Mus musculus: one gene and its partners. The main gene of each other region encodes a partner of the protein of the gene in region 3 in a complex. Links are inferred from orthologs where the notes say so. Each region holds a gene or a part of one and is shown on either strand. Other genes may lie near its edges.

Region 1 (4,525 bases), on a different chromosome or scaffold from region 3:
TGAATTAATAACTGTTTTATTAAATGATGAGGTAACGATCCAGGTTCTGTTCTTACAGAAGCAGAGGCCTTCGATTTCGCATGTAACGTTTTCTCCAGCCCCTTTTTCTTATAAAAGATACTGACTGGTTTTGTTTTGCACATTCCTGGGGACCGTAATGGCCTAAGAGTCACAGCATGTCTGAGACGTGGCTGTCATCCTAGAAATTGTAGGGCTTTTAAAATTACATTTAAAATATAAGGGGGGGGGTAATTGGGGAGCTGTTGGGGGAGGGGCACGTGTGCGTAGATGCCGTGGCATGTGTGTGAAGATCAGAAGGCATCTTGCTAGAGTCACTTTTCTCCTTGCACCACGTGGAGTCCGGGGATGAAACTCAGGTCACGCTGCTGAGCCACCTGGCTAGCCCATCACCATAGGATTCTCTCCACAGAAGGTGGAAGTTGAATTGTGCCTCTTAAAGGGAATTCCTGAGTAAAGTGTTCTCCAGCCTGTGGGCCATCCTGCCACCCGCACAGTCCCAGGATAGCCTTTAGGTAGCTGTATGGTGCAGGAATTATGCCCTAAAATGAAGTTGAAGCACTAGGTTTCCCTCCTGCCTCTCGTTTTCTCTCATTTTCTTCACATCCCGGCTCTTACCAAGGCCTCTCACAGAGAGCACCAGCTAAAGCCAGTCTAGAGCTGCCTTGGTCGAGAGTTACAGGGTGAGGAACCTGTTCATGAAAGGTCTGGGATTGTGCACCAGCTTCTCCAATTTAAGTTGAGAGAGGTGAGGGAGCCCTGCCCTGGATTTCAGTATCAAAGGCAGTGTTTGTTCAAACAAGGTGCTATGTAGAAGAAGCACACACCAGGAGGCTGACTCCCAGAGAATCACATCCCAGCCAGATCTGAACTGTGCCCTTGGCCTTGGGCGTTCTCCCTGATCCTATGAAGCCCCTGTGTGCCTTTGCTTAATAGTACCATAGTTGTTTGGAGGATGGGGAAAAGTTAATGTTAATGCCATTGAAATATTCATCCATACAGAATGTATGTATACCTGGGAATTTTTACCCACCTGTGTCTGTAACCATCACCAATCCATACAAAACATACAGGGGCGGGAGAGATGGCGACTGAGTGGGTAAAGAGCTTGCTTGCAAGCCTAAGGACATGGGCTCTGGTCCTAGTACCCACATAAAAGTGAGACATTGCAGCAAGCGCCTGCAACCCAGGCACTGGTTGGCAGTTGAGAGGGTGAATCAGGGCGGCTCACTGGCAGGCCTGGCTAGCTTAAGCAGTGAGCTCCGTGTTCACAGAGAGAGCCTGTCTTTTTTAAAAGATGAAAATTAATACAGAAGACTTCTGATGTTGATGGTGTCCGTGGGTACACGCGGGTGAGCACACTTATACACGTGCACGCACACATTGTGTGCACCACATTACATACACACACCACATTTTTTTAATAAAGGAAAAAGAAATGGGGTTGGCTTTCCTCTGGCTTCTACTGTGAGGTGCTTAAGTGTGCGTGAAGTCTTTTGTTTATCGGCTCTTTGCTGTGTTCCGTCTGTGATGTTCACTCATGTGCTGCGTGCTGTCTCGGCTCATTCTCGGCCTGTTTTACCTGTTACGTGAATATTCCTCGGTTCAGCTACTTACATAAACAGAACTGCAGGCTATTTCCTGTCTGGGACAAGGTGAACAGTGTAACCCTGTCTTTTAGTAAACCTTTGCCTGACCCAAGGTTTGTGTTTGTGTAAGCTTAGTGTGTGTCCTGCCGGCCTTACCCAGTGGACCCCCACCATCCCTACAAGGGCCTGGCAGACTCCATTTCTCTCAGTGTGGCCACTCTGGGACGCACACTGCACCAGCATAATTGTGACTGTGATTTGCATTTCTTGACGTCTACTGAAATTGACCCTGGAGCCTTGTTCCATTTAAACATGACAGTGAAACAGAACCATCTGTCCACCTTGGGTCTTCAACACGGCTGCCCAGACTGCTTCCACAGCCTCTAACTGACTTTCTGTAACCCAAGGAAGAAGAAGAGAAATGCCTCTGCGGGCCCCGTCAGGACCGGCCGGGACCGAGTGCCCACTTATCTGTACCGCATGGATTTCCAGAAGATGGGTAAATGCATCATCATAAACAACAAGAACTTCGACAAAGCGACAGGTGGGTGAGGGGCCGGGCCAAGCCCTCCTGACCCTCCCACGTCCTCCGCACTTTACCAGACATTCGTCAGAGGGCGGCAGTGCCAGCGGCTCTCCATGAGAGAATTTTCAGTCTGAGGTCCCGCTATGTACTGTAGGAGCCTGCCTTAGTTGCTTTCCTGTTGCTGGGATAAAATGGCCTTTTTTTTTTTTTTCCCTTGGGTGGTTCTAGACCGTGTGACATTGACAGCCAGACCTGGCTATCCCAAGACCATGAAGAAGCTCACCTTGAGTGGAGGCTGGGTCCTTTGGAGTTTGCCTCTGGTCTCACGTGTGTGGTTGAGCTGAGAAGTGTTGTTTCTGCTTCAGGGAGTGTTGCTGGAGCCCACACGGCACCTGATCTGACTAGAGCCTGTTCACCCCACTCCTTGCCTTACCCCCACAGGTATGGACGTCCGGAATGGGACGGACAAAGATGCAGGGGCCCTCTTCAAGTGCTTCCAAAACCTGGGTTTTGAAGTAACCGTCCACAATGACTGCTCTTGTGCAAAGATGCAAGATCTGCTTAGAAAAGGTGAGTGTGAGCTGTGCTTGGTGAGTGTGAGCTGTGCCTGTCTGTCCCACCCCAGGCACCTAGAGGAACAGAGCCTAGGCTATAGAATGTTGGCCATAGACAGACTACATTGTAATTGTGTGGATGGACTTTGGACAGGGTAAGAGAGAGGCTGGAGAGTAAATTAGGGACCAGACGAGACTCCAAGAGCTATGCCCACCTCCCGGAGAGATGTGTTTACTGTATACCGGGCCTGTCCAACCTTTGAACATAGTGACAATTCATTGACATCTGCCGAGTTCATGCGCATGCACCAGGTAGAGTTACAAAGTCAGTTACAAAGAATTAGGTAAGTTTCCCACTTTGTATTGAGCCTGAGTCCATAGCTGTCCTGTGGCACAGGCTGCCCACAACCGTGAGTTGGATGTGCCTTAAAGGATGCCACTGGGGTACTCTCACACCTGGGGCACGTGCCTGAAAGTAGAATCCTACCTGCTCGTTAGACGGGACCTACACATAGCAGGGGACAACTTTCTTTAACTACAGGTCTGAAAGAGGAAGATTTTATGTGCCTTTCTTCCTTTTAATTGACTTCTCGGGGCCCAAGAGATGGCTCACTGATTAAGAGTGCACACTGCTTGTGCAGAGGCCCGAGTTCGCTCCTCAGCACCCATATTAGATGGCTCACAGCCACCCATAACGCCAGCTCCAGAAGATCAGATGCCCTCTTCTGGCTTCTGCAGGTACCTGAAAACACACACACACACACACACACACACACACACACACACACACACAGAGTTAAATATTAATATAAGTCACATAAAGTGCCTGTATGAGTGCCAGCACACAGGAGGTATGCCTGAAATGGCTGTTTATGGTATCAGCTGGTAGGTTGGTCCCTGTCACAGGCATATAAACAACCTGGTCAGGCCAGTCAGCTGTGTTCCTCTCCTAATCCCTGTACTGACAGCCGTCTGATACTCTTTCCTGTTAACTTTCTAGTTTACATGCAGGGTGATAGGTTTCACATCTGTACGCCATTGTGCTTGTTCTCATGACCCCCACTCTTCTGCTCGGTCCCCTGCCCCTCTCAGCTGCCTTCACTCCTTTTGTATCAGATGGGTCCCACCCCCACCCCCATTTATGTCTCTGCTCCCCTCTCAAGTTCTGTAACCAACGTGCACACACTTACACGAGTACACACATACAGGCTTGCAGACTTCTAAAACTAGCATCCACACACAAGAGGAAACTTGGGTCTTTGTGTCTGAACTAGCTAGTTTCCCTTAACATACAATTTCCCGGTTCTGTCCCTTTCCCTGGCAATGTCATGATTGCAGTTTTCTTCATGGCTCCACAAAGCTCCATTGTGTGTTTCCCTGGCAATGTCATGATTGCCGTTTTCTTCATGACTCCACAAAGCTCCATTGTGTGTATGGACACTCTTCCTGTATCTACTTTCGATTGATGGCACGTTCTAGCCCCTGGCTACTGTGACCCATACAACCGTAAACATGGATGTGCATGTGTGCCCATAATGCGAATCCAGGGTCCTTCCCATGTGTATTTGTTTTGCTGTTGTGATAAGTTACGCGTACTACAAAGCCACTGTCTCAATCATTTTAAAGAGAAGAGTTCAGGGGAGTTAAACACACTCATCTTGTTAGAATTCTTTTCGTCTTCCATAACCTATCTCCTAACCACTCACTGTTTCCCCTCCCCCAGCCACTGCACCATTTGCCCTTTGTGTGTGTGTGTGTGTGTGTGTGTGTGTGTGTGTGTGTGTGTGTGTGACCAGCTTATTCCTCGTGGCTTAACATTTTCTTTTCTACAACAAATG
Region 2 (4,525 bases), on a different chromosome or scaffold from region 3:
ATGTCTTATGTATATCTGTCAAATACATGGACTTTTAAGTGTAATAAATCTGTACTTGACATGTGTTTTCTACTTTCTCCTTTAGAAAACAATTTCAGTGCTCCAACTGTTTATCCTACTTCAAGCTTATGTAATTATCTTTCTGTCACCATTGAACACCCAGTCCCTTCAACATTCTCAGAGGCTCACTGCACATCACCTCCCCAAAGGGCACTGATGACGACTCAAAGACTCAAACAAACATAACATAAAAAAGGTGTAAATCTTAATCATCATCTGTCTTAACCCTAGCCCCACTTTAGTCCTTAGTTCTAACGGCTGTGAGTGCTCACAGCTTAACAATGTAGCACTCAGTCCTTAGTTCTAACAGCTGTGAGTGCTCACAGCTTAACAATGCAGCACTCAGTCCTTAGTTCTAACAGCTGTGAGTGCTCACAGCTTAACAATGCAGCACTCAGTCCTTAGTTCTAACAGCTGTGAGTGCTCACAGCTTAACAATGCAGCACTCAGTCCTTAGTTCTAACAGCTGTGAGTGCTCACAGCTTAACAATGTAGCACTCAGTCCTTAGTTCTAACAGCTGTGAGTGCTCACAGCTTAACAATGCAGCACTCAGTCCTTAGTTCTAACAGCTGTGAGTGCTCACAGCTTAACAATGCAGCACTCAGTCCTTAGTTCTAACAGCTGTGAGTGCTCACAGCTTAACAATGCAGCACTCAGTCCTTAGTTCTAACAGCTGTGAGTGCTCACAGCTTAACAATGCAGCACTCAGTCCTTAGTTCTAACAGCTGTGAGTGCTCACAGCTTAACAATGCAGCACTCAGTCCTTAGTTCTAACAGCTGTGAGTGCTCACAGCTTAACAATGCAGCACTCAGTCCTTAGTTCTAACAGCTGTGAGTGCTCACAGCTTAACAATGCAGCACTCAGTCCTTAGTTCTAACAGCTGTGAGTGCTCACAGCTTAACAATGTAGCACTCAGTCCTTAGTTCTAACAGCTGTGAGTGCTCACAGCTTAACAATGTAGCACTCAGTCCTTAGTTCTAACAGCTGTGAGTGCTCACAGTTTAACAATGTAGCACTCAGTCCTTAGTTCTAACAGCTGTGAGTGCTCACAGCTTAACAATGCAGCACTCAGTCCTTAGTTCTAACAGCTGTGAGTGCTCACAGCTTAACAATGCAGCACTCAGTCCTTAGTTCTAACAGCTGTGAGTGCTCACAGCTTAACAATGCAGCACTCAGTCCTTAGTTCTAACAGCTGTGAGTGCTCATAGCTAAACAATGTAGCACTCAGCTTTATGGCCTCCTCCCTCAGCTCAGGTAAGCAGTCAGAAGGTGTCAGGGAGTTGCCCTAATTTCTCACACCACCTTCCCTGTTTTCCCTTTTAACTGCCCTGACTCCAAGCCTCCTCTTGACTTCAAGTGGCTTCTGCAGGGCTATCACGGTGGCTCAGTGGGTCAAGGCGCTTGCTTCACTTAAATCTGATTCCCAGACTCCACAGTGGAAGGAGATAAGTGACTCTCAAAGATGACTTCTGATCTGTACACGTGCACTGTGATGGTCTAGCCCTACCCATCCCCCACCCCCTAACAAGAGATTTAATTTTTTTATCTAATTCCAGCCATGATGAACCTTCCTAAAGCAAAAATTTGTATATGATAGCCTTCTTTAAGAGTTACTTCCTCCTGAATTTAGAAGCCTAAGTAATATTAGTGAAATGTAGTATTTTTTAAAAATTGATTAATTTTTTAATTAAAAATATATGTATGTATAAGTGTTTTATTCTGCATTTATGTCTATGCACTGTGCATGCTTGGTGTCTATGGAGGCCAGAATAGGGTGGGAGATCTTTTGGAGCTGCAGTCGTGGCAGTTCTGAGACACTGTGTGGGAATCAGGCATGATTGCTCTGGAACAACAGTAAGCACCCTTTCCACTGAGCTCTCTCCAGTCCCTAGGAATTCTTGCAGATATCACTGTAATCCTCCTTAATCTTTTATCTCTTCATTTTTACTCTATCTACAAGACAAACTAAATTACTCATGTCACCCGTTTCCTTGCTTCTGGACTCCATATTGTTCTTTTTACGGAATGCCTGTCATAAGTAGAGGTCAGCTTTCAGCCAGAAATACGGTCTTCATGATGACATAATAGAGTGACATTCGCCAAAGTAAAGTATTCATCAAAGAGCCTGGCATTACTCAAGTCTTGGGTCTGCTAGCTACTTGCTAAGTGATCCAGAGTTCATAATCTGTCAACAAGGACTAAGACTGGCTCCCTCACACAGCTATTAAAAAAAATACTTTCTTAAGAATGTGTCTTGTTTCCTGTAGTGATGTGATATATATATATATATATATATATATATATACACACACATATATTATATATAAGTTTTCCATCATGATTACAGAGTGCCTTTAATATAAACATATTTGTTCATCATGCTACTGCTACCTTTACATATGTAGCCTTGTTACTTTAAAAAAATGGATCATGAATGCAAATCAGAAATGAGTTCCACGCACACCATCTGTCTGACAAGGGTATAATTTGAAAGAAAGTAAAAAGGTATGTAAGCACGCTGACTGGAAAACTGGCATACCAGATAAAAATCCCTTGTCTTGAGGAGCTGATAGGGATCTGGAGGGTCCAGGAGAACCAGTGTTTCTAGAGAGCAGAGAGGATCCACACGATTCCTAAAGGAAACAGAGGACCAACAGGTTGAGGGGAGCTGTATACATAAAGTTTTGTAGAAAAGGCATTGTCTTTAAAATTACATGGCTATAGTTTCTAGATTCTTGGTTATTAATAAAGGAAACCTAGAACTACTATAAATTATAAGGAAGTAAGGTATAAAACCATCACAAACAAATGTGATTTCTTTTTCACCCTTTTCTCTACTAGGGGTCGCACCTAGGGCCCCAGACATGATAGGTGAGTGCTTTACCACTGAGCTATCGCCTCAATCTCTAAATTTAATGTCTTTATCAACTCAAATGGAAGGGATGGGGCAATAGCTATGTACTGGAAATAACTATACACCCATTATGATTTAGAGGACGTTTGTGGCTAAAATGATGAACAACAAACATGTGGTTATTTATTGATTTAGAGTAGATGCTGGTTATCAGGCTCTTTCAACCTGAAGGCATAGAAAAATGCTTGGAGAAACTATGGAGATCGTCACACTTAGCTCTGTCACTGAATTGCTTACTGCTTTCCAAATATTCATTGAAACTCTCTGGCTTTAATGTTTCATCAAAAATTAGCTTATTATTCTCATAGAGGCAGGGGGAGGGGAGATGGTATAGGGGGTTTCCTAAGGGAAGACCTGGGAAGGGGAAAACATTTGAAATGTAAATAAAGAAAATATCCAATAAAAAATTAGCTTGTTACAAGGATCAAATTAGATACTTTATATATAAGTGATTTTGAAACTACATATTGTGGGTCAGTGTGGTGTTTCAGTGGGTAGCCAAGTGGATAACCTGAATGTGATCCTTGAGAACCACATAGTAAAGGAGAGAATGGATTCCTGCAAGTTATCCTTTAACACACATGCATACATACATACACATGTACACATGCTGGGTAAACAAATGTAAAAAAAACCTATGTGGTGTGCTTTAATGATCTTTTGAATGTACTGTTACTTTTATGAACCTGTAAAGTAGATATATAATCTTAAAATGATTCATAAAAATGACCAATTAAAGATATAACTCTTAGAGAGCAACAGAAACTTATTATTTACTGTAAGAGGTGGAAGGGTGCTATAAAACAGTGATGAAATGATCACCTATGATTTACCTACCCACCACCCTAGAGCATCATCCAAAGAGGGTGGAGTGAGATTTCAGGTTAGAGATTGTCATGACTACTTAGCTAATTATAAATGCTTCCTGGACTTTAGTTTTCCAGCGCTATAAAAGAGGTCTGACTAAAAGATTTTTTTTAACATTGTTCTCACATCCAAGCTTAGTATAACAGAAGTATACTTATACCTCCTGTGGGGGATGATTTGCAGGTATGTTTAGCGATAAATCCATTTTCTTATCACATAAGTGAATAGTACTTGAGGAACTCTGTATCTGGAATGAACATACACATGTTTTGTGTTTACAGAAAAATCAATGGAAACAAAATTTACATCATTTGTGAATATATAACTTAATTAGGTAGAGACAGTACAGAACAAGAAATGCTTAGAGAATAGATTTTGCATCTTGCCCCATATTGTTTGATTTAGTAACTATTATCTCAAGAGAGTTGCAGCTTCATCTTTAATGCTTACAAACAGGACTATTTAAAGATTGAAATAATAAAGCATTTGGTTCAAGCTGGGTATTCAATTTTGCTGTATGCTCTATTTATCCATAACTGTTATTATGCAAGGACTATACTTCTATGACTATTTTCATTGTACTGAAAAGAAACCAAGGTTGGACCAATGTAAAGGTGGTAGTGTGTTACCATGGTACAGTGTGATGTGCATGTGTGATGGTCAAGCATAGAGCCCAAGATAT
Region 3 (4,525 bases):
TTATAGTTAAGTGATGGAGTGCCTGCTTAGTGTGCTCATGGCTCTTAGTTTAATCCCCAGTAACATACAAAAAAGACAAGAATGAAAAGGTTGGTTTTACTTGTTTGTCCATTGCATGGGTGGGGGATGTACATCGCATAATGCACAGTTGGCGGTCTGTACAGCCTGGAGGGGTTTGTTCTCCTCTGTGAGCTCCTGAGATTGAACTTGTCAGAAAGTGCCTTCTCTCTGGCCCCAAGATAGTTAATGGAATTGAATGCTGGAGACTGCCTTTACTAGTACTTCACTAATTTATCAGCTAGTAGAGTTTAATTTAATTTTCTTTAATCTTTTAGGTGCAAATACCTATTGGATGAGAAGGGGCAAGAATATATAAATAATATTCATTTAACCCATTCACTTGAGGAATCTTTGGTGAGTAGCTTATTGTGCAATATATTTTCAAATTCTATATTATTTGTTTTTCTTTTGTTTTCATTAATTTATTTATTCACTTTACATCCCAATATCCACTCCCCATTTCCCAGTTTCTCCCTTACACAACTTCTTCCCTCATTCTCTCCCCATCCCACCCTGCCATATCAAGTCACTGCAGCATTAGGTACATCCTCTCCTGCTGAGGCCAGACAAGGAGGCTCAGTTGGAGGAACAGGATCCACAGGCAGGCAATAGGTTTAGGAACAGCCCCCCCCACTTCAGTTGTTGGGGGACCCACATAGACCAAGCTGTACATCTACTATATATGTGCAGGGGGCATGTGTAGGTCCAGCCCATGCTTGCTCTTTGGCTGGTGATTCAGTCTCTAGGAGACTCCAATGGTCCAAGTTCATTGACTGTTAGTCTTCCTATGGTGTGTGTGTGTGTGTGTGTGTGTGTGTGTGTGTGTCTTTAGTAACCTTTTAGCAGATAATACTTCAGATTGCAAAAATAAGGACAGAGATATACGTGGGTTTTACCTTTTCTGGCTAGCATAAACAAGCCCCTGGGTTCAATCAAGATGAACAACTGTGTCTGAATTGACACAGAACAGTGGCCGTCAGAGCATTAGTATACTGAGAAGAACTTTGGACTGCAGTGGGAGTCTAGAGTGGACATGACGGTTCTACCCTTAGCTTTTAGCTGCATTTGTATTGGTTTGTTCTCCAGGGGATCGTTGGATCTCTTTGGCCCTCAGCTTCTTGTTTATAAAGGGGTGATGAGTAGATAGATAGTCTTACCTTCCTTCCATTCCGTTAGGTTATGCTCTTATGAATAGTCAGGGTTTTTAAATTAGAATAAAGCCAATTTGTTTTAAGTTTATTAACTTTTCAAATTGAGATAATTGCTTTCTGCTAAAGTGAATTCTTACCATTCATATTTCTATTTTAGGGAAGAACTGCTGAAAAAACACCATCGCTAACTAAAAAAATCGGTAAATATGCCTATTAAAAATAAATCTGTTTAGTTTTGTGGCCAATTTATTATAGTATGTTTAATGAGGCTGCTATAAATTTAAGAATTTAATGAAGTGCTTATAATTTTATTCCAGATAGTTTTGTAGTGAGAACATTAATAGAAAGCCAGGTGCTGTGGTGGAAATCTAATCCTAGCACTCACAATGTTAAAGCAGGAGAATTCTGAACTTGTGGTCAGTCTGGATTGCATGGCATGGTTTTAAGAAAGGAAGGGAGGGAGGAAAATGTATTAAAACAACAAAGAGATTAGAAGTTTAGATTTTTACATTTTTATTTACTTATTTATTTAATCTGTATGGGTGGTCAGCCTTCATATATGTGTGCCATATGCATGCCTGGTTGCCCCAGAAGCCAGGAGAGGGTGTTAGATCCCATGGGGCTGAAGTTAAAAGTAGTTGTGAGCCTCCATGTGAGTGCCAGGAATTGAACTCAGGTCCTCTGGAAGAGCCAATGTTCTTAACCTCTGAGCTATCCCAGTAGTCTGTCTACTGTGTAGGCCAGACTGGCCTGGACCTGTCTCTTTCTGCCTCAGTTTCTAAGTGCTGGGATTGGGGTGTGTGCCCCCACATGCAGCTAAAGCCGATACTGTGATGGTGTTTGTTGTTGTTTGGTGCTGGTGACTGAGCCGTGAATAGTAAGTACTCTGAGCTGCATCCACTGCAGTTAGTCCTACATTCCTCTGAAGAAACAAAGGTGATGTGATCTACCCATGGCCATGGTATAATTTCGTTTTGTTTCATTTTGTTTTTAGAGACAGGATTTCTCTGTGTACCCCTGGCTGTCATGGAAGTTGTTTTATACAACACGCTAGCCTCAACCTCACAGAGATATGCCTGCTATTGCCTCCCAATTAAATGCATGCACTATTATAAATTGTTAATAGAACTAAGCACTATAACAGGGTCTTCTAAATTCCATAGCATATTGTAGATTTAGGTTTTTTTAAGATTTATTTATTATTATATGTAAGTACACTATAGCTGTCTTCAGACACACCAGAAGAGGGCGTCAGATCTCATTATGGATGGTTGTGAGCCACCATGTGGTTGCTGGGATTTATCAGAACCTTAGAAAGAGCAGTCAGTGCTCTTAACAGCTAAGCCATCTCTCCAGCCCTAAATGTAATTTTCAGTGTGATTATGTATGGGGGTTTGGTGGTGGTGGTGGTGGTGTGGAACGGAGTTTTTCTCTATATTTCAACTGTCCTGGAACTCGCTTTGAAGAGCAGGCTGGCCTCAAACCCCCAGATACCTTCCTGCCTCTGTCTCTGTCTCCAGAGTGTTAAAATTAAAGGTGTCCACCACAACACCTGTGCACTGGTGTTTGTTTTTTTTTTTGTTTTTTTTTTGAGAAGGGTATTTTCTGTATAGACCTGGCTGTCATGGAACTCAACTCTATAGACCAGGCTGGCCTCGAACTTAGAAATCCGCTTGCCTCTGACTCACAAGTGCTAGGATTAAAGACATGCACCACCACTGCCGAGCAGACACTAGTTCTTTTGGAGTTTCCATTTGTGGGTTTTCAGTTTTTTGTTTTGTTTTGTTTTCTTGTCTATTCTTTTCTTTTAAGATGTCCTTTTTCAATTGAAGCAGTATGTTTTAATTTAGAGTATCTGGTGAGTCCCTATTCCCTAATGTTGTAACATCATCTAGGATACTACAAATATTTGTAAATATGCTTGAAATGCAGAGCTACGTTATATTATTTGGAATGGACTTGGTAGCAGGTATAAATAACCAAGTTAAATCATTTTTCTCTAGCATACTTCTTTTTGTGGTTTCTCGAGATAGGGTTTCCTGGATGTCTTGGAACTTTCTCTGTAGACTAGGCTGGCCTAGAACTCAAAGATCTGCCTGTCCCTGCCTCCTGAGTGCTGGGATTAAAGGTGTGCACGAGCACTTTTCTTTTCAGCTTTGGAAATCAAAGGCACAGCAACACATATAATAGGCAAACACTCTACTGTTGAACTTATCATCAATATGATAGTCTCAAATCCCTAAACTATTTTACTGTTTAGTTATGTTAATGAAAATACTTCTACTATGTTCTTTCTCCACCCAACTTTGATTTCAGATGATACCATCTTCCAGAATCCTATGGTGCAAGAAGCTATACGAATGGGATTTAGCTTCAAGGACATTAAGAAAACAATGGAAGAAAAAATCCAAACATCCGGGAGCAGCTATCTATCACTTGAGGTCCTGATTGCAGATCTTGTGAGTGCTCAGAAAGATAATACGGAGGATGAGTCAAGTCAAACTTCATTGCAGAAAGGTATGCATTGTTTGTTTTTATAGGAAAATTCACCTTGTAGCCCATCCATTTCCTTTATAATATCCCCATAGAATAAACACTTTTACTCTTTGAACTTAGTATTATGGTTCTCTTATTTCAATGAACAACCAAAATTACAGCAGATAAGCTACTTCTAGACAGTTTTTCTTTTATCCTTTTTTCTTTCTCTGGGTGGGGTGGGGGTTGGAGACAGCTCTGTATAGCCCTGGCTGTCCTGGAATTTGCTATGTAGACCAGGCTGGATCTCAAACTCAAGTGATCCACTTGTTTCTACCCCACAAATGCTGGGGTTAAAGGCGTGAGCCCCACACCCAGCCTGAAGGCTGATTCTTTTCTTTTTTTTTAAGATTTATTTATGTGAGTACACTGTAGCTGTGCAGATGGTTGTGAGCCTTCTTGTGGTTGCTGGGAACTGAATTTTTAAGACCTCTGCTCGCTCTGGTCAACCCCGCTCACTCAGGTGGGCCCCGCTCGCTCTGGTCAATTATTATACATAAGTACACTGTAGTTGTCTTCAGACACACCAGAAGATGGTGTCAGATCTCATTACAGATGGTTGTGAGCCACCATGTGGTTGCTGGGATTTGAACTCAAGACCTTCAGAAGAGCAGTTACCTCTTACCCACTGAGCCATCTCGCCAGCCCTGAAGGCTGTTTCTTAAGAAGAGACTAGAACAATCCTTTTTGTCCTTTTCATACCCAGAGAGCTCAAATATGGCAGTACCTCTCTCTCTCTGATTCAAAACTCCTCAGCAGCTCTCAGAACCCTCAGAATC

Evidence for each region. The genes of interacting proteins can lie anywhere in the genome.
Region 1: the proteins of Xiap (region 3) and Casp7 are in contact, whole or in part, in a crystal structure (PDB 1I51), measured with the Homo sapiens proteins. The link is inferred for Mus musculus from reciprocal best matches to the Homo sapiens genes XIAP and CASP7. Residues at the interface, in NP_001158.2 of Homo sapiens: His136, Ala137, Leu140, Leu141, Gly144, Gln145, Val146, Val147, Asp148, Ile149, Ser150, Asp151; in NP_001218.1 of Homo sapiens: Tyr230, Trp232, Arg233, Ser234, Pro235, Gly236, Arg237, Trp240, Glu274, Ser275, Gln276, Asp279, His281, Phe282.
Region 2: the proteins of Xiap (region 3) and Ripk2 are in contact, whole or in part, in a cryo-EM structure (PDB 8AZA), measured with the Homo sapiens proteins. The link is inferred for Mus musculus from reciprocal best matches to the Homo sapiens genes XIAP and RIPK2. Residues at the interface, in NP_001158.2 of Homo sapiens: Lys208, Asn209, Trp210, Glu211, Pro212, Cys213; in NP_003812.1 of Homo sapiens: His136, Asn137, Met138, Thr139, Pro141, Ile208, Asp278, Glu279, Arg280, Ser282, Lys285.

What each region holds. Positions count from the first base shown.
Region 1 is NC_000085.6:56,431,228-56,435,752, forward strand, and holds part of Casp7 (caspase-7 precursor), read left to right. Parts: intron 1-2,014; coding exon 2,015-2,151; intron 2,152-2,574; coding exon 2,575-2,703; intron 2,704-4,525. UniProt on the Homo sapiens protein: Thiol protease involved in different programmed cell death processes, such as apoptosis, pyroptosis or granzyme-mediated programmed cell death, by proteolytically cleaving target proteins.
Region 2 is NC_000070.6:16,125,020-16,129,544, forward strand, and holds part of Ripk2 (receptor-interacting serine/threonine-protein kinase 2), read right to left. Parts: intron 4,091-4,525; coding exon 4,004-4,090; intron 2,696-4,003; coding exon 2,602-2,695; intron 1-2,601.
Region 3 is NC_000086.7:42,098,469-42,102,993, forward strand, and holds part of Xiap (E3 ubiquitin-protein ligase XIAP), read left to right. Parts: intron 1-335; coding exon 336-414; intron 415-1,368; coding exon 1,369-1,411; intron 1,412-3,527; coding exon 3,528-3,728; intron 3,729-4,525.